Linked DNA regions of Lonchura striata. The protein of the gene in region 2 interacts with the protein of the main gene of each other region in a biochemical or structural test. Links are inferred from orthologs where the notes say so. Each region holds a gene or a part of one and is shown on either strand. Other genes may lie near its edges. The genes, in order: CSNK1D, MAPT and PPP2CB.

Region 1 (7,810 bases), on a different chromosome or scaffold from region 2:
GGCCGCACATATGACTCTTTTTTACTGTCCTGGTTTGTAAGATAAGCTTGTATCCTATTTGCCATCTGTTGGAGGTTGGGCAGGTTTGTTATCTCTTCCAAGAACAATGGTTTGCTCCGAAGGGGTAATGGTTTGTTAATGGGCCATTGCCTGATTCACCGCAGGGCTGGTAACGTAACACCATCCCATAGTGAGATGCTCCACCCAGAGGGGGAAGCCAAGCACTCTTTTTATTGTATAAAGTGGTACCTTTTTTGGGGAGGCAGGGCAGCTCTCTCTCTCTCTCTTTACGGGATTCCCAGAGAAGCAGCCCTCTCTCTTTACAGGATTCCCAGAGAAGCAGCTCTCTCTCTCTTTGCGGGATTTCCCAGAGAAGCAGCTCCTTTGGCGGCACTCCCGAGAGAAGCAGCTGGAGCGTGGTGAGGCAGTGGCGGCGTAGCTGGGAGGCGGCCCCGGCGCAGAGGAAGACTGCCCCAACTGCCACCAGATCTTCAGAGAAAACTATACCCTTCTAAAGATCACCACTTCAGCTGCAATTCATCAGCCACTGCAAGAGGAGCAGCTATCATTTCAACCGGACTGCCACCAACACCCCGAATCCTCAGGTTGTGGACTTTATCACTAGTTTTGTTTGTACCAATTGCATTTGCCTTTTTAAGTTGTTATCTAGTTTTCTCCTAGTAAAGAATTGTTACTCCCATTCCCATATCTTTGCCTGAGAGCCTTTTAATTTAAAAATCCTGGTAATTCGGAGGGAGGGGGTTTACCTTCTCCATTGCACAGAAGGCTTTTGCCCTCCTTCACAGACTCCTATCTTGTCAAACCAAGACATTTATCTAGCATAACAGGCGACAGGATCCTGGATTGTTACTTTGGACACAGTACAGCCGCAGCAACTGAAAGCTCTTCAATATGTAATCTAGTATTTTTCACACTTCATGAGTGAATTATTTTGGTGGACTTAAATTAATCTTGGTGAACATCAACCCAGAGATTTGAAAGCATGTATCAAAAAAACAAGGAAGCAGGCCTTATTAATACTGACCTCCCCACCACAAATGAACCACACAACTCCTGACCTTTCTTGACCATCTCTTGTTCTCCCAAGTTCTATAACGAAGGTGTAGACAGAAGACCATATTAACCGATAAGCGAAAAACAGCAATGGGGTTGTTTTGGGGTTCCGGTTGGTTTGCCTTTTTAAAAAATCTTTGTTGATCCAAAACAGACACAAACTTCCATATAATGAAAGACATCTCTCTCTAAAGACAGCTGCAGTCCTCTGTGGCTGATTAACGCAAAAACTGTGTAGGAGGATCAAAACCTGTATTATCAGGATCGAGTCCTCCTCAACGCACCATTAAACTTACTTGACAGACCATGGTCTTGATCTGCTAGGTCACTTCTCAGCCTATTTTCTCTTCCTAAGAAGTTTTACCACCTAAGAAAGCCAAGATCTTTAGCCTAAACTCCACTTCTATGTAAGCCCTCTCCTCCAAGACAAGAGATTTTGTACTATTAATGCAATTAATATTTCTGAGTCCAGCAAAACTAATGAGAGTGGCACAAAAATGCAAATCATTCTGCCAAGCAATCCAGTGCTTACCCCCAAGAAGGGACTTTTGTTTACAACTTAAACCTGAGACAAAAGTTTCTAAAATTTTACAGTGTCCTGTATTCCACCAAAAGCTTAGCTTCCTTTAAGGAATATGTAATAATATTTAAGAAGCAGCAGTTCTATAAAAGGAATCATTAAAAAGTAGTAACAAGCTGTATAATGAGACATCACCATTTCTAATTGAAAAAGAAAGACTAAAGTTGTGAAAGCTTTTTTTTTTAAATTCAAAACTCTTATGTACTTGTAATTGTCAAGTCCTCTTCCCTAAGGAAGGCCTTGGAAATTATTTGAATTAGTTTACAACCTAAAACTCATTCCTAAGAAAAATACATGCATAACACAAGAAACCATGAAAACACTGCAACTACTACTCTATGACTCATTCCTACTTGACCTCATGCTCCCTGCAACAAAATAAACGCTTACTCTGATCCATTCACTCCTGTCCACTTTTTATACTATTTAGAGTATCTAGGTATCAATTTCTTTCATATCTTCCCCTGGAAGGTAACATAGGTAAACTCTTAAATTTCATTTTATTTAAGTTTTCCATGCTTATTTATTTACAGTAGTGCCTTACAAATAAAAATTCTGTCCCACAGACCCCCATTCCAAATTCCAGAAGATAAATTTTGAGGTACAAAGAAGAAGAAAGAATGTGAAAGAACCATGCTCCTAACAATGTTGTTGGTTTCTTATTCCAAAGTAGGGTAAAAGAGTAAGGGTGGGAAAACAGAGGACGCCCCTCCTCTCTACTCTGAAATGTCTTGTAGCTGCATTTGAGACAAAACCTGGGGACTGGAAGCAGGCAAAAATAGTCAAATCTTCATTTTCAAAGCATAAAACTGAGCTGGGAATGTATGCTGAAATAATCTACAAATTCACTGAGGCCTATCAGAAGGCACGTCTACTTAAAGTAAATACTGCCTTCTGAAATAACATTATAAATTATTTTAAGACACTTATGTCTACTGTACAGTCTGAACAGCAGAGCAGTAACTGGATTTTTTTTAAAACTCCACATTTCGTTATCACAAAAGCCAGTTTTCAAACATCTGTTCTACCAGATAATTGTAGGCAAAGCAAATGGGACTCTATAAAACGCTTCAGTTCTTGAAAGACAATAATTTCCCCTGAGAAAATAAAACCATGCCACCAGCTGGATCTTCCATTCACATACTTATATGCTAGCTCCATGCCTGAGCCATGCTTCCACGTAAATGGCATGACATTTGCAGTAAGCCTTGAGAGTAAATCCAGGACAATTGTTTAGAAATAAAAAAATGTAAAACTCACAGGATTTATTGCACAGAATTCAGTATGGCATTAATATATACACTAGCATACAGCAAACTATTACTTTCTGTGCACCTTCACTGGTGTAAGCTGCATTCATAGAGATAAAAGTGACACATAAACGTTTATTTCACTTGCACTTGATATTAATACTGTATTACAATCTGATTTACCTGAGCAGTAGTCAAAAGTTTAAATTATTCAAATTATCTAAGACTTTTCAGATTTTAACTGCTGTCTTAATTGCCCCCAAAATCCAAATGGAAGCTAACAAGAATTTTTGCACAAGCTTTATGACAATCTTCTATAGTCACATCTTCAATCTTCTATACATGCACTGCAGAAAGGAAGAATCACGTTCTCTGACTCTAGACAATCACATACCTTCAGTTAAAATAGCATATTTTTCATCAGGCATATGATATGTCTAATGGATAATGAGTATTTCATGATCTGTAAACAAGCAGCTTTAAGTAAAAAATTATTTTGGAATGGCAGCTGTGCACTGCAACACGTATAGAAAAACAACCCCCACATCTCATACTGCATGCACTGCCAAACGTACCACATAAGCCAGCAAGTGACATTATTTTTATCTTCCACAGTCAATGAACCTTAGCCCCTGCAACTTCCACCTTCCCCCACCCACCCTTCCCTGATTTGCTCTTCTAGGTTAACACAATTTTCAAAAGCAGAATACTCGTATCTACTGGATGAGACATAATGCTCATATTTCTTTGGATTGAACCCACTTCACATGGCTTGAGAGTTTGCCGAATATGTAGAGCATTTTAAAAATACCTGCTTTCAAAATCTGTTGCACCCACTACCTGAGCTTGTCATAAACAATAGCAGCAGTAGGCTATGTTAGAGAACTATAATAAGGGACTGGCAAAGAGAATTCCAATCCTGTACGTTTTACAATTGTAGAGCGATCACGGTTAGGTGATGGTCAGCAACAGGATTTGCCAAACTACGAGGATTATTTGAAGGATTTAAAGGTTTTTTACTGCAACCTAAACACTTGTATTTGTGTGATTTTTTTTAGGCCTCAAAGTAGAATAAACATTCTTCTGACAATTTTTCCTAGTTCACTGCAGCGATATTTAACCCTGGTACGTTTCTTCCCCAAAACGTTTTTCCAAATGCGGTGGGTTGTGGGGTTTTTAGGGTTTATATCATTTTGTTTTTTTCCCTTCCTTTCTTTCAGACGAGGCGATTTTTACCCTTATGCCCATTTTACAGACTCGAACGGTGCCCAAGGTCACTAGACAGCAACGAGAAGAGAAGCAGCCGAGTAAACCAGAATTCCTGATTTCCGCACTATCCAAATTAGGACATGATGTCAACGAAATATTAAATTACTGCTGCTGTGTCCCTAGCCCAGCTACTTGCCCGACCCGGCTAGGCCCTCGATGTTCTCCACACACCCAGAAAACGGCCAACTAAATCCCCTGCGAGCCATCCTCCTTACCCAAGTAGATATCCCCGAAAGAGCCGCTCCCGATCTTCCGGCCCAGCCGGTACCGGTTCCCAACTCTCAGCTCCATGGCGGCAGCTCGGGTCGTTCACGACACCGTTCTGTTGCTCTGCCCGGCCTGCTGGCTCTCGTTCTGATGCCTCACAGTCCTGCGGTTTCGGATGCCATCGCGGCTTTGGTCTCGCCGCTCGATACTAAGGAGACAGGCAAGACGGTCGCCGCAGCTCCCGAGCAAGATGGACACGGATTCCCGATGCGATCGGCCCCTCAGCCCCTGCGGCGCCCCGCCACCATCCCGCGTGACCTCACTTCCCTAGCGACGGGGGCGGGGCGCGCTGCCGCAGGGACGGCGCGCGCCGGGCGGGGCGTGGCTGCCGTCCGGCGCTGGTGCCCCGTCTCACCGCGCCGTCCCTGCCACCTGCCGGGCCGCGAATGAGGTCGGCAGTCTTCTCGGTGTGTGTGGCGTCGTCGTCCCCGCGGTGGAGATGAGCTCCGGCAGCACTGCGTTCCGAGGAGCGCCCCTTTGATCGTGAAGGCGGAAGGGCGAGGAGGGGGAGAGTGGTGCAGGGACAAAGTCTGAGAAGTGACCCCGCAAATTTCAGGGGAAAACCATGTCATTTTTGCTGGGGAGGAGTGTTGGGATCTCCTCTGTCTCTCCGGGTGAGGAAGAATGTCTAATAAGTGTCGTGCTAAGCAGAGCACCGCAGGGCCTGTATGTATAACCATGTAGTGTGTGCACATGTGAAGCTGTGTATTTGTGAAGCCTCATACTGTAAAAGTTGTAAGACATTGATGTCTTAGGTGGCTGACAGCTGAGTCTCTGGAAGTACAGAGTAAGGGATGGAGAGGGAGAGACAAAGACACATCTGAACTGTCAAATTCCCCCAGCAGCTGTAAGTGGGAGCTGTGGTGAGTCCTGGACCCATTAGTCCATGTTGCCCCTCTTCTGCATCCCATCCCTACCACCCTTCTCCTGCTGATGTATTTTTTTCTGCTTTCCTGCACCTCTCCCTCTCCTGTTTTCCAGGCTCTTGTCTTTTTCTCATATTCTATCTCTCTGTTTTCTTTTGCTTTCTGGACTTCTGTCCTCTTCCCTACTTCTCTTGTCTTCATCTTCTATCTCAATCCATTGATATTTTTGTCTTTTTCCATTTATCTGTCTTCCAATTTTTTAGAATTCTACCCATATACCCTCTTGGCCTTTGTGATGTCCCCCCCAACTTTTATTTCCTCTCTCTCTCTCATATTCTAAGTACACTTTTTCTTTCTTGGATGCTCTCATTCCAGGTCCCTGCCCTAATGTTTAATTTCTTCCCTCTCTGTCCCTCAGCCCATTTTTCCCTTGGCTATTCTCTGTTGTCCTTTCCCTTTGCCTTCTTAACTGGCAAAATAAGGCTATTAAATTTGGATTCATATTTGTTCAACAGGCCTTATTTTATAAATTTATCTTTTATAAATCTAATATTTCTTTTCTTTTATAAATCTTTTATAAATATATCCAAGGGATAATAACCCCTTACAACTTTATTTTCTCAAAGGGTATTGCTTTTGCCTTACTGGTCCTGTCAGGGTTTCAATTTGTTTCTTACAGCCTCTGCATTTCTGGGTCACTGGGGCACCTCCTCTCCAGTCCAGACTACCAGATTTACTGCATCCTCAAGTGATACAAATGGCAGATGGATCACATCTGACTTTGAAGATTGTAGTGCAAAAGCAGAAGCTTCCATATAATTAGATTTTGGAGTAATAACCTGCATTTTGCCATTTTAATCTTGATTTTAGCATTCAGGTTTTCCAGTAAATCATTCAAGGAGAGGCTTAGGTAAAATGAGTAGCTACAAAAACTGGGGAGTCACCCATTATTTTCCTAATTTAAAATCAATGGGCTGGAAAAATGGCTGAGTTTCATGGTTCCCCGTTGCACCAATGATTGTTATAGAATCGTCACTCAAGTTTCCTTTTACTGTATTCAGCACAGAGCAACCAGCTCCTATAGCCACTAAAAAATTCTACCTCCTCATTGACCTCCTCCCTTCCCAGCTTAGCTGTGACCAGATGTTCTGCTGGGAAAGAATCCTCTGGTCCCCCTCAGTGATCATCGGTGATGGCCACGAGAGAGGAGTTTTGTGTTGTAACTGCGGACAGTCCCTTTTCAAACGCCTCTCTTTCTTACAGTGTGCACAATGATTGACAACAAGTCTCTTTTCTTCCTTCCTCTGTTGTTCTCTGATGAGCCCTCAGGGAAAAGATTGATTGAATTGCGGAATAACTCACTTTGGCAGAGTGTCCTTTGCAACAGAGCCTTCAACTGCATCAAATATGGCTTCACTTACAGTTGTTCTGATTGGTTCTGATAATCCGCCTGCCCTGTGGTCTCTGGAGTGTGGAAGCATCTCATGTAATTGGATTTTGCTCAGTTTTGCTCAGCTGTGCAGCAGAAAGTGCTACAGGGTCTCTGAAGCAGTCAGAGCCTCCACCCAGGGTAGGGATCACTGCTTTTATACACAAGAATCAGCCTGGGCACAGCAAGATCTGCTCATCTTTAGGGCTGCCCCAAGTCTCCACCTGGAGAGCTCCCAAACATTTCAGTCCCACAGCTGATTTTGAAGGTGACTCATTTTTGCTCATTTTAGAGTTGTTTCACTTTGAGGGCTCTTGACTGAACTCAATCACTTGGTTTCAAGTTGATGGCCTGTCTCAGACCAGTTTCTCCTCCTCTCTGTGTGGACAATGAGATGGAAGAGTCCTTGGGCCATCCAGGGCACTGATGACTTCAGTGCTCTGGTTCAACATCAAAAGAGCTTTGTTTCATTGCTTCAGACCTTCCCTCTCCTCTTCTCCCCTGACATTTTAAATAATCCTCTTTTCAAAGTCATCTGCTCTGCTCTTCTCCATGTCGAAAAGCAAATCAAAAACCTGAAAGGGAAAGCACCAGTCTTTATTGAATATATTTTTCTCATACATCTTTTCTTAGCTGTGTATTTTGGTTTCAGAACAGAGTAACTTAATTACGTAATTAATCAGGGATTTGAGACTTGAAAAGTGAGTTTCATCTGCTCCCCTGCAGGTATGGTCCAGGCTCAGGGTCGGGGGGAAGGGGGGGCAGCAGAGGGGGGAGCCCACAGTCCGGGCTCCAGAGGAGGGGGGTCAGGGGCGGGGGGAGCTGGGACCCATCTCACTCCCTGCCTGCCTTCACTGCCGCTCTGGTGACTTACACCCCACGGTGGGAGGGCAGGCCCCGTGCCCAGTGGTGCTCCATCCCCCAGCAAGTTATAAAGGATTTGTGCAAGGCTGAAAAGGAATTCAGCCGGGAAAGTGAATTTTTTTGCGGTCTTTTAAAGGCAACCCTGTCCTCGGCAGAGTATGTGCCAGCAGATTTGTGAACCCTTTTTTCGTGTTTAATAACGCAGGCTGAG
Region 2 (7,810 bases):
CCAGCCCTCTGCAAGCGTGGGCAGCAGCAGCTGGTCCCAGTGAGAGACGATTCACCCACCTTGAGTGGCATCTCCTGCAGCGTGGTCCTCCAGGTTGGGAGTGGCTCCTACGCCCGCCTCTTCAGCTGCTCAGGCAGAGAAAGAAGGGGAAAAACATCATCAAAATAAGAGCTGAGTTCAAGCACGTGCCTGGAGAATGAATTTACCTCCCTGCCGAGGCTGCCCAGCAGAACGGGCAGGATCTCTGCAGCAGGGCAGAAATCTCCCCACACTGATGAAGGACCCGGGTGGATCTGCTCAGCCCCTGCTCTACAGACCAGAGCAGTGTTTCACCAGCTTCCACATCCTAAATGGCAGGTTAGCACAAGCTCTTCCAGGCAGAAAACAGGCTGTTAAGGAGCAAGGCAACTTGCGGATGTAGATCCTCTTCTACCCCCACGTGGCCTTTACACGGCCAGCAGCACGCCCATGGACGTCTCTTACCTGAGCTCACTTCTTGTGTCTGTGACCAACCTGTGAGCCCTGCCAAGGCTGGCTGAGACCAGTAACTCCAAGCCTGATACAAATCTATAGAGAAATCCTGAACTTCAGGACTACAGGTACATCAGAGAAGCATAAGAGAAGGTTTTCTTCACAGTGATGGTGGTTTGTCTTCCTCAGCATTTCTTCAGTTTATTCTATGACTATTTTCAAACTAGCTTAAATAATTCTATTGGTATGCCTCAGTTCTCCAGTCAAACTAGGACTTCTTCTCTGTTTTCCTCATTTTTATCCAAGCAGTTCAGGATACACTGGCTCCCTGGGACAGTCTGATCTTGCACCAGAGGCTCTGTGCTTCAGTCCAGGGCTCCACCAGCAGCTCAGGGACCAGATGCAGCACAGAAATTCCACTGCTGTGAGTTTGTTTCAGTGCTTGGCACTGGCAGAAGCCCTTTTCTACCCGCTGCTTTTCTCAGGTCCTGCCTGATGCTTCCAGGGAAAGCCACTGGCTATGGCACAGGGGACACATCCTCATTTTTCAGACACATCCTGCTCTCCCACACACAGCACTGCCACAGTCACTCCCTGCTCTGCCTCTGGAAGGCCCCATCCTTCCCTGGAAAACCAGGCCCAGGTGCAGTGGCTGCCCACAGGGCATTCAGGCTGAATTAGTCACTTCACTGGCTCTGCATCACCCTTAAAAGCACTGCTGCAGTGGCCTGGTTTCCACCTGCCACTCCAAAGACACCGCCAGGGCTGGGCAGAGCCCGGGGGCTGCAGGAGGCACCCAGGGGCTGCAGGAGGCACCCAGGGGCTGCTGGCACGGGAAGGACCCGGATCTGCAGAGAGGAGCCTGGAGGTGGGAGCCAAAGCCACCACAGAGACACCAGACAGAAGGATGGTCAGGTGTGGAGCAGAGAAAGAGAGAAGAAAAGGCTGCGAGTTCCCCCCAGGACGGGGAAGGCAAGAGGACAGCTCTGAGAGAGGAATTCTCCAGAGAAGAAGGAAGCAGGGCTGGGAGCAGCGTCCCTGCGAGAGGTTTCGTGGTGTTGCCTCACAACACCGACCAGTCCAGCTCTCTGCTCTGTCTGCAGCAAGAGATGAAGCTGCACCTTGGTCTCCCTCACCTGTGGTTCCTTCTGGGATCTCCCCGTGCTGTTCCGCACCACCCTGATCCTCGTGGTCTCCTTCCTCCACTAAAGGTGCTGTGGCATCTGCAAAACAACACGGCTTTCACACAGCTGCTGGGAGGCAAAGCCCTCTGCAGGCCTGGAGAACTTCCTGCCCGGAGAAGCCCTCGGCTCCCTCACGGCCAAGCACGGCTCCAAAGCCAGAGCCACAGGGACACCACGAGCTGGCCCCTGCCACACAACGCTCCCTACGCTTCTGCCCAAAAATCCACCACTAAATCCTGCACGGGGACACGGCTGCTGTGGAGCAGCACGCAGCAGCTCCCCTGGAGCTGCACGGAGCACCCCAAGTGGCTGCACCGTGCTCTGGGACGCAGGGACACCCAGCTCCACCTACCAGAGGGGTGGCTGCTCATCCTGCAGCCCCAGCCCGGCTGGAAAGCAGGACAAAATCCCCTCCTGCACCAGACAGGTTTTATGTCCTGATTTCTTGAGGCACTTTCCTGACAATCGCTCAGCCCACACCTCCAGCGGGACAGGGCTGGGACTGCTCAGCATCTCTGCCCACCCTTCCTTCCTTTCAGAACAATTTTGCAAGCTAAAGCCTCTACCTCAAGTCTCCAAAGGCAGATTCCTGGGATTAAAGCAGCCAGAGGAAGGCAAAAAGTGAAGGTAATTACAACAGTGAACAAGTCTCTAGACCACTCTGGAGTTAGAGCCTTTCTACCCACGAGGCAGTCAGGACCTGGGGAGCACAGACACAAACCTGTGCCACTCAACACAGCAGCTCCTGGCTGCTCTGCCAGGGCCCTGCAGTGCCCCTGTAAAGGCTGCAGGAAGCAAACCACCAGCAGCTTCCTGAGCTGCAAGGAACAATTCACCTTTCCTGCTTTGCAGCCCACTCTGCACCTCTGGGGCTCATTATCTCATTCTGCAGCACAGCCAACACCACTAGTGATGAGACTAACAAAGGGGTTCTCCTCCTGAGAAACCCCCAGGACACGGCACGGGGAGTCTGTGGCGAGGTTTACCACGACCCCGTCCAGCATGGTCCCAAAGCAGAAAGTCAAAGAGCTCCCACCTTCCGTAGTTGGGGTGCTCTTAGCGTCAGATGTTTCAGAAACAGGCTCATCCGATCCATCATCGACTGGTATCTGAAGGGGATAGCCTGGAAAACATTCACATACTTACAACAGGTCCTTGGCTAAGAGCTGGGGCCTGGGGGTTACCAGCTGTGATCCACAGCTGCAAGAAGCTGCAGCTGGAGAGTAAAACCACCTGAGCCAAGAGCAAGCAAAGCGTGGAAATGCCAACCAAAAGCACCAGTGTGAGCGCCGAAAGGAACAAATGGAAACCCACCAGCAAAAGAAAAGCCCAGTGAACCGGGCAGGCAGAAACAGCAAAGCATGGCACAAGCAGGCAAGGAGATCTCGGCAACGTAAGGAGGAAAGATGTGCAGCTTCTGAGCCCCTGTTGTCCTCTCCCTCCCAGAGCAGGCTGAGCACTCCCAGGACTGCAAACCAGCCCGTGTTTGTGACGGGGCTGCTGCAGGACAGCATTCTGTGCCAAGAAACCGTGGCAAAAGTCTTCTGGAAGAGCAGGGCAAGAGGCACAAGTCTCCTCTCAGCAAGGGTGCAGGCAAATCAAATAATGAGAGCTGGAAAAACTGATTTGGAAAAGAAGAAGTGAGATCCCTGAGAACCTGTGATGTTTCACAAGCTGAGAGGAGCTGCCGGACCGCAATGCGCTACTGGATGAATGGATGCTCTGGATTCTCTCCAGGACAGAGGCCATCCATTTATCTGCTTGAAGAGGTGTCCAAAGCACCTCAAGAAAAGGAAATTAAGATGATGTTTATATGGAGCACAGCCAGGAGTGAGTCCCCCCAGGTCTGCTGGGCGGTGCGGGTTTCCAAGCTCAGCTGTGGAGCACGGTGGAATGAGAAAGGAAAAGCTTCTGAAGAAATGCAGGTCTGAAATATGGTGAGGAAGACTCTAGCATGGCCCCCACGCCCAGAGCTCTCTGTTCAGTTCTCCCCAGGTCCCTGTGCAGGTGAGGAAGGCAGGCAGCAAGCAGCACCCTCGAGCTGTGACCCCAAATAAAAAGAAGTGCTGTGCTTTCTTAGCAAACTGAGGAGTGAACACAAACACACACTTGCAAAGCTGCAGCAGTGGGATCGCCCCTGGTCTGGGGTTCTTCTGCTCAGTGGGCAGCGAGATCCACGAGCAGCATTTCGCTGCCACCGTGCACGTGGAGCACCCCGTGGGCTCCCCGTGGTGCCCTGGCTGCAGCCAGCTGACCACAGTGTCCCTGCCAGGAGCCCTGGCACCACCAGCACCCCTGGCTGCTCTGCCTCTCCCCCTGCCTCAGCAGGGGCCCAGGCAGGTCCTCCACCCCGTCCTGGACGTGCTCACCTGATGAGAAGTGCTTTTCCTGGCCAGGTGCGTGATCCTCCATCATGGTGGTGTCCTGAGGCTGCTCTGCCACCTCTCAGCAAAGGTACCTGGAAAGGAGAGTAAAAACTAACACCCATTAGGCAAAACCTGTCACAGCAGCAGCAAAGGGAAGGTCTGGCCATTCCTGCACAGGCAAAAGCATGTGCCAGTCACTGCATCCCTCACAACAAACACAGAGGCACCTCCTGCCAGCTGCACTGAAATTCCACGGGTGTTTAAGATGTCCCAAGGAAAAAGAGCACCCTGGTGCACCCAGGACACTGCCCTGACACAGCTTCACCCCAGGAGCTCCCTGCGAGCAGCAGGCTGTGCTGACTGGCTCCTGGTGCTCCAAACTCTGCATTTCCCAGTTTAACCAGTCCCCCAAGAGATGCATTTGCTGGGGAGGTGTGATGCTGCTGTGGGAAGGGATCCTCCCCTCCCTGTGGAGACACCCAGCAGGGACACACATCTTCAAAGCCATCCGAAAGCGGCAGAGGGGGGACACCAGGCCTATCCACAGATGGATTTTGGACTCTCAGAGGAGAGGGTCTCGCTCAGCTGTGGCTGAGAGGGGACAGCACAGCCCCTGCTTTAACCCCAAACCCTTCCTGCAGGCTCAGAGAGCCTCACCACAGCACAGAGCCAAGCAAACAGGTCTGGGGTGGGAGCAGAAAGGTGCCAAACCTCCCAGCTGATTCTGCGAACTGCCTTGATCTGCGAGAGGAAATGAAGTCTCCAACAACCATTACCTGCCCCTGCTCCGCGCCGGGTGGACAGACAGTGCTTTCAGCTGCCTTCCTAAGAGCTGGTATGATTACAGCCATTGGCAGTGATTAATAATCAGCTTTTAGTGTGATCACATGCTTGCCGTGACCCTCAGGGCCCGCTGAATCCAGCAGTGGAGCTCAGGTTACCAGCAGCAAGGAGGAAACTTGTGGTTTTGTGTGCTGGCAATAAATTAACTGGATGTATGGAACCACACAAGAGAAACTCCAGGGCCAGTAACCAGATCTCTCAGCCAGCTTTTTTTAAGCCTTAGCAAGATGACTCTGCAATTTAATTACTGCCTTAGACAGCTACAAAGCCATTTGACAGCACTGGAGAACCAAGGAGGCTGGAGAGCTTGCACTGGAATGAAATCACCCACAAAAATGGAGGTATAAAATAAGAAAGAATTAAATACCTAATTTTTGCTCTAATTAGTGGGCCCTAATTATTTGGACATATGGCTGCCTTCCTCCTAGTGCTCAAAGGGTCATATTGATTACGTCAGGCCTTGCATTTCTCCGGGCATGCAGGGCTGCAGCCTGGGGAAGTCCCTGCATTTCTCCAGGATGCAGCCTGGGAAAGTCCCTGCATTTCTCTGGGCATGCAGGGCTGCAGCCTGGGAAAGTCCCTGCATTTCTCCGGGCATGCAGGGCTGCAGCCTGGGGTAGTCCCTGCATTTCTCCGGGATGCAGCCTGGGGTAGTCCCTGCATTTCTCCAGGATGCAGCCTGGGAAAGTCCCTGCATTTCTCCAGGATGCAGCCTGGGGAAGTCCCTGCATTTCTCCAGGATGCAGCCTGGGGTAGTCCCTGCATTTCTCCGGGATGCAGCCTGGGGTAGTCCCTGCATTTCTCCAGGATGCAGCCTGGGGTAGTCCCTGCATTTCTCCAGGATGCAGCGCTGCAGCCCCTGCGCTGCAGCAGTGCTGGGTTCAGCAGAGGCTGCTGCGGGCAGGGCTGCTGCTCACCTGCCTGCACTGCCAGCCAGTGCCAGGCTCTCCAGCACGAAGGAAGGGCCAGGGCTGTGCAGAGCACTGGGGTGCTGTGCCCTGCCCGTGCTGCCCAGGGACAGGCAGGGCCAGCCCCCACCCCCCCATGGCACCGCACGATGCAGCTCGGGGGGCTCGGGGGGATGCAGCCATCAATTTTTCAGAGACAGAGAGGAAGAGCTGCCTTCCTCTTACAGGGAAAAAAGCACGGCCAAAACATGGAGGTCCATCACTGAGACACTCAGGGGACCCTGGATCGCTCTGGAGAGCAGAAACATCTCCCAGCAGATGGAGCACAGCGTCCTCCTGCTGCTCCACGAGTGCCCTGGTGGGGAACAAAACCACCTGGCACCAGAGCCAAGAGACAGGGAGGGAGGAAAGCCTCAGCTTGGCCTTGGGTTTTCACTCAGGTCATGAATTCATGTGACCAAAGAGAATTTAAATCTTATTAAAATGACAGATTCTAGATTCGAATTCTCAAGGATGGAATGAAAATTCTGAAAGAAGTCCATAATGGTAATCCTCTTTGTTTTTCCTTTTGAGTGGGGGAAGGGGAAATCCCTCTCAGAGAAAAACATAACATCAAGGGGAAAAAAAAAATTCTAAAATATGCTTAAAAGTGTAAAACCAGCCCCGCCTTTAAGCAGTGGCTCAGTGATGCATAATTAGAGCAAAGAAAGCTGCACAGAGATAAACTTGAACAGCACCCTCTGCATGGCAGATAAAGCACAAACCCCCCAAAGAACCTTATCCATCCCCAGCAGAACTATTCTCCTTAACCAGGGACACTATCTAAAAAGCAACAGCCTATCCCATCATTAACAGCTCCTCCAAACCTCTCGTTTTCCAGACCTGAAGCCCTCCTGGTGTTGGGAGGGACCTCAAAGCCCATCCAGTGCCACCCTGCCGTGGCAGCAACGCCTCCCACTGTCCCAGAAAGTTGGGACAAGCCCCATCCAGCCTGGCCTTGGGCACTGCCAGGGATCCAGGGCAGCTGTGCCAGGGCCTGCCCGCCCTCCCAGGGAAGAGCATCCTCCTAATATCTACTCCAAACCTCCTCTCTCAGTTGGAATCCATTCCCCTGTCCCGTCGCTGCAGGTCCTTGGAAGTATTTCCCAGTGTTTCCCATTTTCTGCAGATGCTGGAAGGCCACACAAGGTCACCCCAGAGCTGCTCTTCGTCCCCAGCCCCACGTCCAGTCTGCAGCAGCGATTCCTGCCCGGCCACCAAAGAGGCACCAGGACTGGGCACAGCCAGAACAGCCCAGCAGCACAGCAGAGCCACCACCCTGCAGCCCCTGGGAACCCAAAAAACCCCACAGAAAGCCCCCAGCACCCTCTGCCCGGCAGGGCTCCGAGCCCACGCTAAGGCAGGCAGCCCAAACTCGCACACCTTTGGCCAAAAGTTTCTCTGCAGTGGAAGGGAGATAAACCCCAGGTGCAGCCCAGCTGAGAGCAAGGTGCCCCACGGAGGGCAGGGGCAGAGGGCAGAGCTGGGAGCACCCAGATGTGTAACCTGTGCCAGACATCTGGAACAGCCTCCCCCAGCCCTCCGTGCCAGGCTCCGAGTGGGGCACGGCGGGCACGGCCCCGGGAGCAGAGCAGGGACCAGCCCGGGGTCACAAGGCTGGAGCAGAGGCTCGATTTACACAGCCCAGCCCAAAATAAACCCGGCCTTGGCAGCAAACACAAAAAGGAACACTGCAGCAGGACAGTGCAGGCCTGCAGAGATGCTGGCTGGGTTTGGGACCCAGCGAGCCCAACCGAGCAGCTCCACCCTTCATGCCAGCCACAGGATAACCCCAAAATACCCAAATGATCACCCAGGTAACTCCCAAGCCTCCTGGCTATTGTCTCCTGCTCAGCATCTTCCTTCCCCGTTATTTAATCAGAAAGGGCACAAAGCACTCGCTCTTGTTGTTAAAAATGAAAATTCAACAAACACGAGCTAAGTGTTACCTCTGAAAGGTGATCAAACACAACCAGGGCTTTAAAAAAGCATCATTCCA
Region 3 (7,810 bases), on a different chromosome or scaffold from region 2:
AAAAGGGCTGGAAGATCACCAACACTGAGCAATCACCAGCAGGTGATGATCTGGGTATTCCCTGCCATATCCCTTAGCTCAGGATGAGCTAAGGCTCACCCTGTGCTGCCAGAAGGGAACCGCTTCCAAATGATACCCTCTGTGGGCTTCCTGAGGATGCCTGAGTTTCCATTCCAGTGCTTGCTGCCTTGCCTCTTTTAGGTAGAACATGTATTTGGAAGGAGTAACTACACCCCAAGCAGTTTGGACTGCATCCAGCATGCTCTCTGCACAGAACCTAACTTGACGGATCCTTAAAGTCACATCCTGCCCATGGATTTGACGAGTTGGGCTCTGCCTTGCACTTCTGGCATGACTGGGAACTGCTGAACATGTTGTATTTGAGTGCAGTAGTAGCACTCAAATTCTGCTTGCACGTCTTTAAAAGCATTTATAGTGCCTTCTGAGAGCTTCCACCCTCTGGGAGAGACAAATATAAACCCACAAAACAGCTGCTCCGTGTGTTCTGGCTGTTGCACAAAGCAACAGGCAGGGGTTTGTTCCAAGCTGGAGCTCAGCAGTGCTCCTTTTCCACAGGAACAGGGCAAATGGGCTCACTTTAAACCTACCCTAGGAATGGGGGACAGCCCACGACCTGAAACGTTGGTGCTAGGAGAATCCAAAAGTTTCCCCTGATGAGGAAGGAGGAGCTGGCAGGTGACAGGAGCGGCTCCTTCCGCTGCCAAGCAGCTGTTCCCCTGCAGCCCATTTTAGCTCATGCTGTGGACAGTCGTCGGTGCACGTGGACAGATCCAGGCTGTCATTTGAACTCTGCCGAGCCAGTTTACATCAGGGTCGGGAGCCCCAGTTTGCCCTCACATGATGATCTTCTCATGCAGAACAAGGCTTGCAAAATGCTCAGCATCGATAAAAACACCCCAGAAAAGCAGTGACTAACCAGCGCATCTGCCTGCAGCGTGAACATTGAAATCAAATTACTTAAAATAAAAAGCACTATTACAAAGCAAAAATAAAAACCTCTGATGCAAGCAGGCTGCCTGGCATCATCAGCACTTACTTAATCCAGGAGGCTAATAAATAACTATGACTTAGAAGTCAAAATTTAGCTACCTTTGTTGCAGAAAACAGTGACTAATGGTATCAGCCTCCTGTGCATCTGTCCCACTTGTGCTGGATGAAAACCATATCCAGGTCAGGACAAAAAAGCAGCAGTCTTTAGGTGTTTTTGTTAAATAAAACTCCCTTGCATTAAGTAAACTGAACCAATGGTTGTCTGTCTGTGCTCAACTCCTGGTGTGTTTCTGAAGAGCCTCAGAGAGAGAAGAAACTCCATTCCTTCAGGAAAACTGATTCCCTCAGCTTGATCTGACCCATAGAGGCTCGTTCTCTGGGAACCTGAAGCCAGGCGTGGAGTTGGGGATCCAAATTCACCTGAACCTTCATCCCACCAATGGCCACAGACCAAACTACTGTACCAACAAGTGGGCTGAGGCTATGAACCTCAGGGAGCTTGGCTGGAATGCCAACCAGCCAAGTGAGATGGAAGCCAGAGGGATGGCAGGGATGGAGCTGTCTCACCCTTCAGGAATGAGGCACCCAGAGCCTCTGCTAAGGTGCTCCCTGATCCAGCACCCCCCGGGATGAACATCACCAACAGAGTGATAAAACACTGCCAGCCATGACACAACACAGGGAATCTCCTGTGTCCCCTCTCACACCTCCAAGGAACCAGGAGAGGAAAGATAAGCTGCAAGGAGAGGGATGGTCATGGATGGCTGCTTGTTTAATTCAGGAGGCAGCCTTTTCCTGCCTTCTTCCATTGCCCATTTGATCATCTTGGTGAAGAACCCTTTTGCCTGGATTAAGCAGGGTGGCTCTCAACTCCCTCACCTGCACCCCAAACGTGGAAGCTTGAACAGTGACCAGAATTAATCCTTCTATCAGCCTCTGAATTTCTGTAGGATTTGAGCTAATTTCCCTTTTAAACACCAAGAGAATGGGAACAAGGTTATCACGTTGAGGAACAGCACCTCCCTCACCTGCAGGAGCCACAGGGGGCTGATCAGCTGCCTAATGAGCTTGCCACTGGGCAGGTGAGGACAGAATGTCACTGCCACAGCTGCAAATTTCAACAACTTTTACGAGTGCACAATCACTGGGCACACCTTCATTGTGTCCAATCCTCCCCTCAGCACTGCCCTCTACGCCACTACCTAAAACCAAAAATGATCCACACAGATAGCTCTGGGATTTCATTGTGGTTTTTTTGTTTTGTTTTCTTTTCTTTTTTCCCTTCATTTTGATTTTTTGTTTTAGGACTGAGTTCTTCCACAACTTGAAACCTGAGGCAAAAGGTACTACTGTCCTGAGTGTCTCTGAAATCAGCCCCAAAAACAAGAGTGTTACAAAGTGTTCTGGAGAAGAGGATTCCTCCAAATATAATTTCAAGGAAACCAACTAAACCAGCTTTGTGGCAGGGCTGCACACCCAGAGTTTTTTGTAAGCTCCTCTCCTGGGTGACACAACCACTCCCCAAAACTTAAACAAGCCAAGTCAGTGCAGGGCACAGTGTTTCCTTCATGCCCCAGCCGTTTCCCTCCGTTTCCAGCAGCCTGGAAGAACGAGGTGCTGTGACAGATGACACACCTCCCTGTCACCTGCTTCCTGAAGGACAAACACCCTCCCCACCTACAGCTGAGCTCTCCTGTCAGCCTTCAGCTTCCCAAAATACAGCAGCCACAATTCCAGCGTCCTAAAGAGCCACAGCTCCCTCATAACTGATGGAGCTCTGGAGAAAAGAGGCACAAAACAAACGGATGGCTCCAGCACAGGACTGAGAAAACAAAAAGGAAGAAACCAGAAAATGTGTGTGGGGGGGGGTGGTTAGGGAGTGTCAGGATCACTGTTGGAAGAACGTGCCAAGGAAAATCTTCCCTTGGTCACAGACTGCAGTGCTAAGGGAGTGCTCACAAACTGCTACTGGACTGCTCAGACAACACCTAGCACAAGTCTAAGGACCTTTCCCCCGATGGGAAAAAAAGGTTTTTCCCAGTGCCCACTAAACAAATCCAAGCACGCGTTTGCCAAGGCCTGTCCATACCGCAGCCCAGAACAGCAGACAGTGTCCTTTATCCGACCATTCCTCTTTCTATTTTGGTCGCCTCAGCAGGCTGCGAGCCTGTTTGCGGCTCACCTCTGCTTCCCGAGATCCCACCTCGGAAGTCAGTGGGCTTCCTCACTGACTCGGGGTTGATTTTCCAGCGCCTGGCTCCTCCACGTTGTGTAGGACACCAGGACATCGGATACTCCAGGGCCACCACCCCGGTGTCCCAGCGCGGGACGCTCCAGAGGGAGCGCCCCGGCCACCCCACGTCCACTCTGACAGACACCATCCCAAAGATCCAATGGCGGATATCCCACAGGCGCCATCCCGCTCTCCCAAAACCCACAGGCACCAGCCGCTTTCCCAGTGCCAACACCCCACAAGCACCGCCCGCTTTCCCAGCGCCCGACATCCCAGCAGCCGCATCCCTGCCTCCCAAAACTCGCTGTCCCGCAGGCACCACCCCGCTCTCTCCACGCCCGGTATTCCACAGGCACCACCCCGCCCCCCAGAGCCCGGTATCCCCCCGGCCACAAGCCGGTCTCCCAACGCCGGACACACCGCGGGCACCGTCCCGCCCTCCCAACGTCCGGGCCCCGCACTCACCTTCTCGCACAGGCTGCGGACCTGGCTCTCGCTCAGCTGCCGGCACTCGTTCAGCTGCTCGATCCACTGGTCCAGCTCCTTGGCGAAGCCCTTCTCCTCCATGGCGAGGGGGGCCGGGCGGGCCCCCCGAGGCCCGGGCCCGCCTGTGGGTGCCGGCGGCGGCCGGGGACGCGCGGCCCGCTCGGGGCTGCTCCGCTCCGCGTAATGGCGGCGCCCCCCGCCTGCCGCGGCTGCTGCGCACTTCCGGCCACGCCCACGGCCGCGCGCCGCCGCTTCCGGCGCGCGGAGTCGGCCTCAGAGCCCCGCCCCTCCCGCTGGCCCCGCCCCCGCCGTGGCCACGCCCCCTCCCGGCTCCGCTCGGCCGCGCTCGCCCCGCCGCAGGAAAAAGGAATAAACTGCTCCCTTCTCGCCGGGGAAAAAGGATTAAATCAAAGGTTTTGCGCCCGCTGTCGGAGTCGAGTCGCAAGCGTTGGTAGCAGGGCCCGGGAATGTGACAATCCCTGTCTGGCGCGGTATTAATTCCTTTCGCCATATTCCCGTGAAATACTGTGGAGCAGTAATCGCTACAGGAGCGCGTGTACGATGATGTACTAAATATGACACATGATTAGTGAATATAAGCAGTCAAAATGAATACATTTGCTACAGTCTGGCACTCATCTCGCCCTCAGCTTTAAACTGTGACAGACCTGCAGAAATCCCTCCTTGCTGCTCTTTATTTATATAATCTGCTTTGGACTCGTTCTGCTGTGTCCCCTGTACCCAAATGGAGCAGTAATATCGTGACAGAGATGCAGTAACTGAGGCTACGACACTGCCACAACCCGGAGTGCCCAGCCCAGGCAGAAAGGACTGGGATTGGAGGAGACCCCTGAGGGAAAACTTCCCTGGGATTTTTAGCAGGATAAAATAGATCAAGTCCACGTGGTGTGTTTTTTTCATGTCAGATGGGAAGGCTGAGGAGCTGCTCAGGCTGTCCGACCAGGAACACTCATGGCCATCACAGGTCCCTTAATCTCCTTTGGATAGAAGAGATGGACTTGAGGAATTCACCCTGAACTGAGGGAAGAAAATGAAAGGATTCACAACATTGTGTCCCTAAAGTGAATTTTCTAACCGAAAATACAGCTATAAAAAGTAAAAGAGAACAATTTACAAAAAACACAGCTTTGTAGCTACTGTTCTGGAGGACAATCGCTTGCCAGTCCAGTTCCCAGGAAAGATAGCTGCCAGGAACTGTTCATGCTCCTCTGGATGTTTTATTTGCTGATTGGTTTTCCAGAAGGTCATTTCTAACCATATTTTCCATGTTTGTGGCACTGCAGCAGAGCACGGCCATGGGATAAGGCAAATCCTGCCTCGTGGCATTGGACAATAAATCTTCCCAGCCCGGAGCATATGGGAGAGCAGCACCCCCAATAAAAATCATCCCTGGCTTGTCCAAAATGACCCAAAAAAGGGCATCCTGAGTCTCAGGAGGCCAGCCTTAAAACAAATGCTGAGTAGCTTTTATTCTGTCTTTCAGTTTCTGGAGGTTTCCCCATGATTTAATTTGAGGAAACAAAGCACGGACACATGGATGTGCACGCTTTGGTGCTAAGTTTCTATTTACTGATTCCTTGCCACCATTAAAATGTTTAATAGGCGACGCTTAAATGGAAAGATCCAGCTGAGATATTTCTCTTGGCTCCCGGTCAGGAATAAAGAGGTTTCTGAGGTATCGATCCGATGGCAGGTGCTCAGCAAAGCTCCAGCAAAATCTCACAGCCTGAGCCAGGACCTTCCTCAGAGCAACACGACGTGGTTTGCTGGAAAGAGGGAGCTCTTGGGATGAGCTGGGGATTTTCCTGCAAAGGAGTGGCAGGGACAGAGCCTGCGGAATCTCCCGGCAGCAGAGGGGGACATTCATCAGGCTCCCTGGCAGGGAAAACTGACAAGCCTCAGCGACAGGGAATTAATGAAGGCAGGATTTTCCACCACCTTCTCTAAAATCTCATCATCTCTCTGCTAGAACCTTCTAAAAAGGCAATGCTGGTGAAGTGGCATGAAAGGCTACTTTATTAAAAAACACATTACTGTTGGCTGTGTAACATTAAACCCCCCCATGGGGTACCTTGCTTTCTTATTCTTGTGACTTTTCCACTGAAACTCGGCTTTTTAGAGTGTGATACAAAACACAGGAGAAACAGAGGCAGAAAAAATTACTCATGGCCACCATTGCCTATGGAAGGCACTGCCTGGGCTTATCCACTGCTTCCCAAAGGGTGCTGGATTCCTGTGTTTTAGAGAGGGGAAAAAACCCACCCCCACAATGAATAAAATAAATCAGTAAAGTTCTTCCTTCTGCCAGCAGCTGAGGGAGCACAAACTCAGTGGGAGCTGCTCCAAGGGCACCTGACCCCCCCTGAGGGTGCAGAGGAGCCCCAGACCACCCAGGGGTATGAGGATAAGGATCCCTAAAAGACATTTTGGAGTGCAGGCACAGCATTTTTGCAGTGGATGGGAGGCAGACCTACCTGGCAGCAGCCTCCATGAAGCCTGGATTCTTTCTCCCAGCGTTTCCCCACAGGATTTGTCTCCCTCCTTCCCGTGGTGGCATCTATCACCATGGGCAGCACTGTGAGGAGCAGCAGGCAACATTACAACATCTTGATAAACTGGGAAAAAAAGCCAGGGAGAAGTCAGAGGGGAGGAAAGAGGCAAAGAGAGGGGGAATGATGCCAGGAGAAGGGAGATGAATCTCTGAAAATGGACTCTGTTGACGTAATGTATGCACAGGGATGGATTCCGAAAGAAAGGAGAGTGACCAAACCCTCACAAGAATCCTCCTGAAATGTCCCTCTCAGACACAGCTGCATCTTTTAGGGAATAAAAAATGTCCTCCTGTAGCAGCAGTCCAGAACAATTTTAATCCCCAAATAGCTGTTTTGGGGAGGGGGGGGGGAGGAACCTCAAAACCTGCAAACCTTGCAACAGGTTTTGTATGCAAACGCAGGCGAATCTGGAATATTTGCTTATTCCTTTTATTGAACCTGCAGGCTGATTTGATTACCTCCCTGGAAACGCGTGTGCAAATCGGTTTTCCAGCCTTTTGAGGGCACTGCCTTCCGCCGCGACGTCTCCAGTGAGTGATGCCAACGTCTGGCTAATGCGATGTGCAGGAAGAGCCGGCGTTGGATGCCGACGCCGATGCCCGGAGCTCTGGGCCGCTGGCGGCCATAAATCCCTCCATTCCCAAATGCAAACCGCTGCCGTCGGAAATGCCTCACCCTGAAAAAACGTGTCAGCAACAATTCAATGGCTCAAATGAGGCGGGCTGAGGCAGAGCCGTTCCTCTGCCACGCGCTTACCCGGATAGAAGGAGCCGATGATGGAAGACTGGGGGGGAAAAGGGCATCAAATTGAAAAGCCCCGGGGAGATGAATGGGAGATAACGGAGAGAAAAACATTTACAGGCTGAAATGATTCCCCCTCCTGGAAACATTTCCTTCTCGCCTCCCTGGGAAGTGCTCAAAGGAGAGCTGTGAGGCAGGCATCTCGGAGCAGGGGCAAATATGGTGGTAAGAATCCGAGCAGACAGTTAAGACTACACAAGTAAGCAAATTTATTTGAAGACAGAACAAATATCGTGGCAAACAACAATATGCAAATTCAGTTGAGAACAGGGGTAAATATCAGACTTTGTTTTCAAATCGATATAAAATATATTCAGATTTAATTTTGTCCAAAAAGCAGCTCGCATTGGGGTGGGGGGTTGGAGGGGATGGCCCTGTTCACGCCATCCAAAGTGTGTGTCACCTGGAAAACCTCAGGATTGGGAGGTGGCTCCTCTGCCAGCAGAGATGAGCCATGCTGGGAGGAGATGGAGGCGCCTTTGGGACTCTAAATTTCTACCTCCTTTTCTTCTTAAAAGCCAATTTTTGTCACAAAGCAAGGAGCTGATTCATCCCCTCCAAGACCCTCAGTGCCCACCCACCTATGTTTGGATTATGCAGTCATGAGGATCCCATCTGCTTTTTAGGGTTGGACATCTTTGAAGGCACCTGCACCTCCTCTTCCTCACTGGCTCCTGATGTATCAACCTCCAGCAGCTGAGCCTGA

What was found.
Region 1: of the proteins of MAPT (region 2) and CSNK1D, one has a biochemical effect on the other in vitro, tested with the Homo sapiens proteins (4 studies listed by BioGRID). The link is inferred for Lonchura striata from reciprocal best matches to the Homo sapiens genes MAPT and CSNK1D.
Region 3: of the proteins of MAPT (region 2) and PPP2CB, one has a biochemical effect on the other in vitro, tested with the Homo sapiens proteins (2 studies listed by BioGRID). The link is inferred for Lonchura striata from reciprocal best matches to the Homo sapiens genes MAPT and PPP2CB.

What each region holds. Positions count from the first base shown.
Region 1 is NC_134621.1:12,201,172-12,208,981, forward strand, and holds the start of CSNK1D (casein kinase I), read right to left. Parts: upstream 4,717-7,810; 5' UTR 4,465-4,716; coding exon 4,389-4,464; intron 1-4,388. UniProt on the Homo sapiens protein: Essential serine/threonine-protein kinase that regulates diverse cellular growth and survival processes including Wnt signaling, DNA repair and circadian rhythms. It can phosphorylate a large number of proteins.
Region 2 is NC_134627.1:8,749,764-8,757,573, reverse strand, and holds the start of MAPT (microtubule-associated protein tau), read right to left. Parts: upstream 4,092-7,810; 5' UTR 4,071-4,091; coding exon 4,025-4,070; intron 2,779-4,024; coding exon 2,692-2,778; intron 1,695-2,691; coding exon 1,608-1,694; intron 126-1,607; coding exon 60-125; intron 1-59. UniProt on the Homo sapiens protein: Promotes microtubule assembly and stability, and might be involved in the establishment and maintenance of neuronal polarity.
Region 3 is NC_134606.1:72,153,031-72,160,840, reverse strand, and holds the start of PPP2CB (serine/threonine-protein phosphatase 2A catalytic subunit beta isoform), read right to left. Parts: upstream 3,897-7,810; 5' UTR 3,812-3,896; coding exon 3,710-3,811; intron 1-3,709.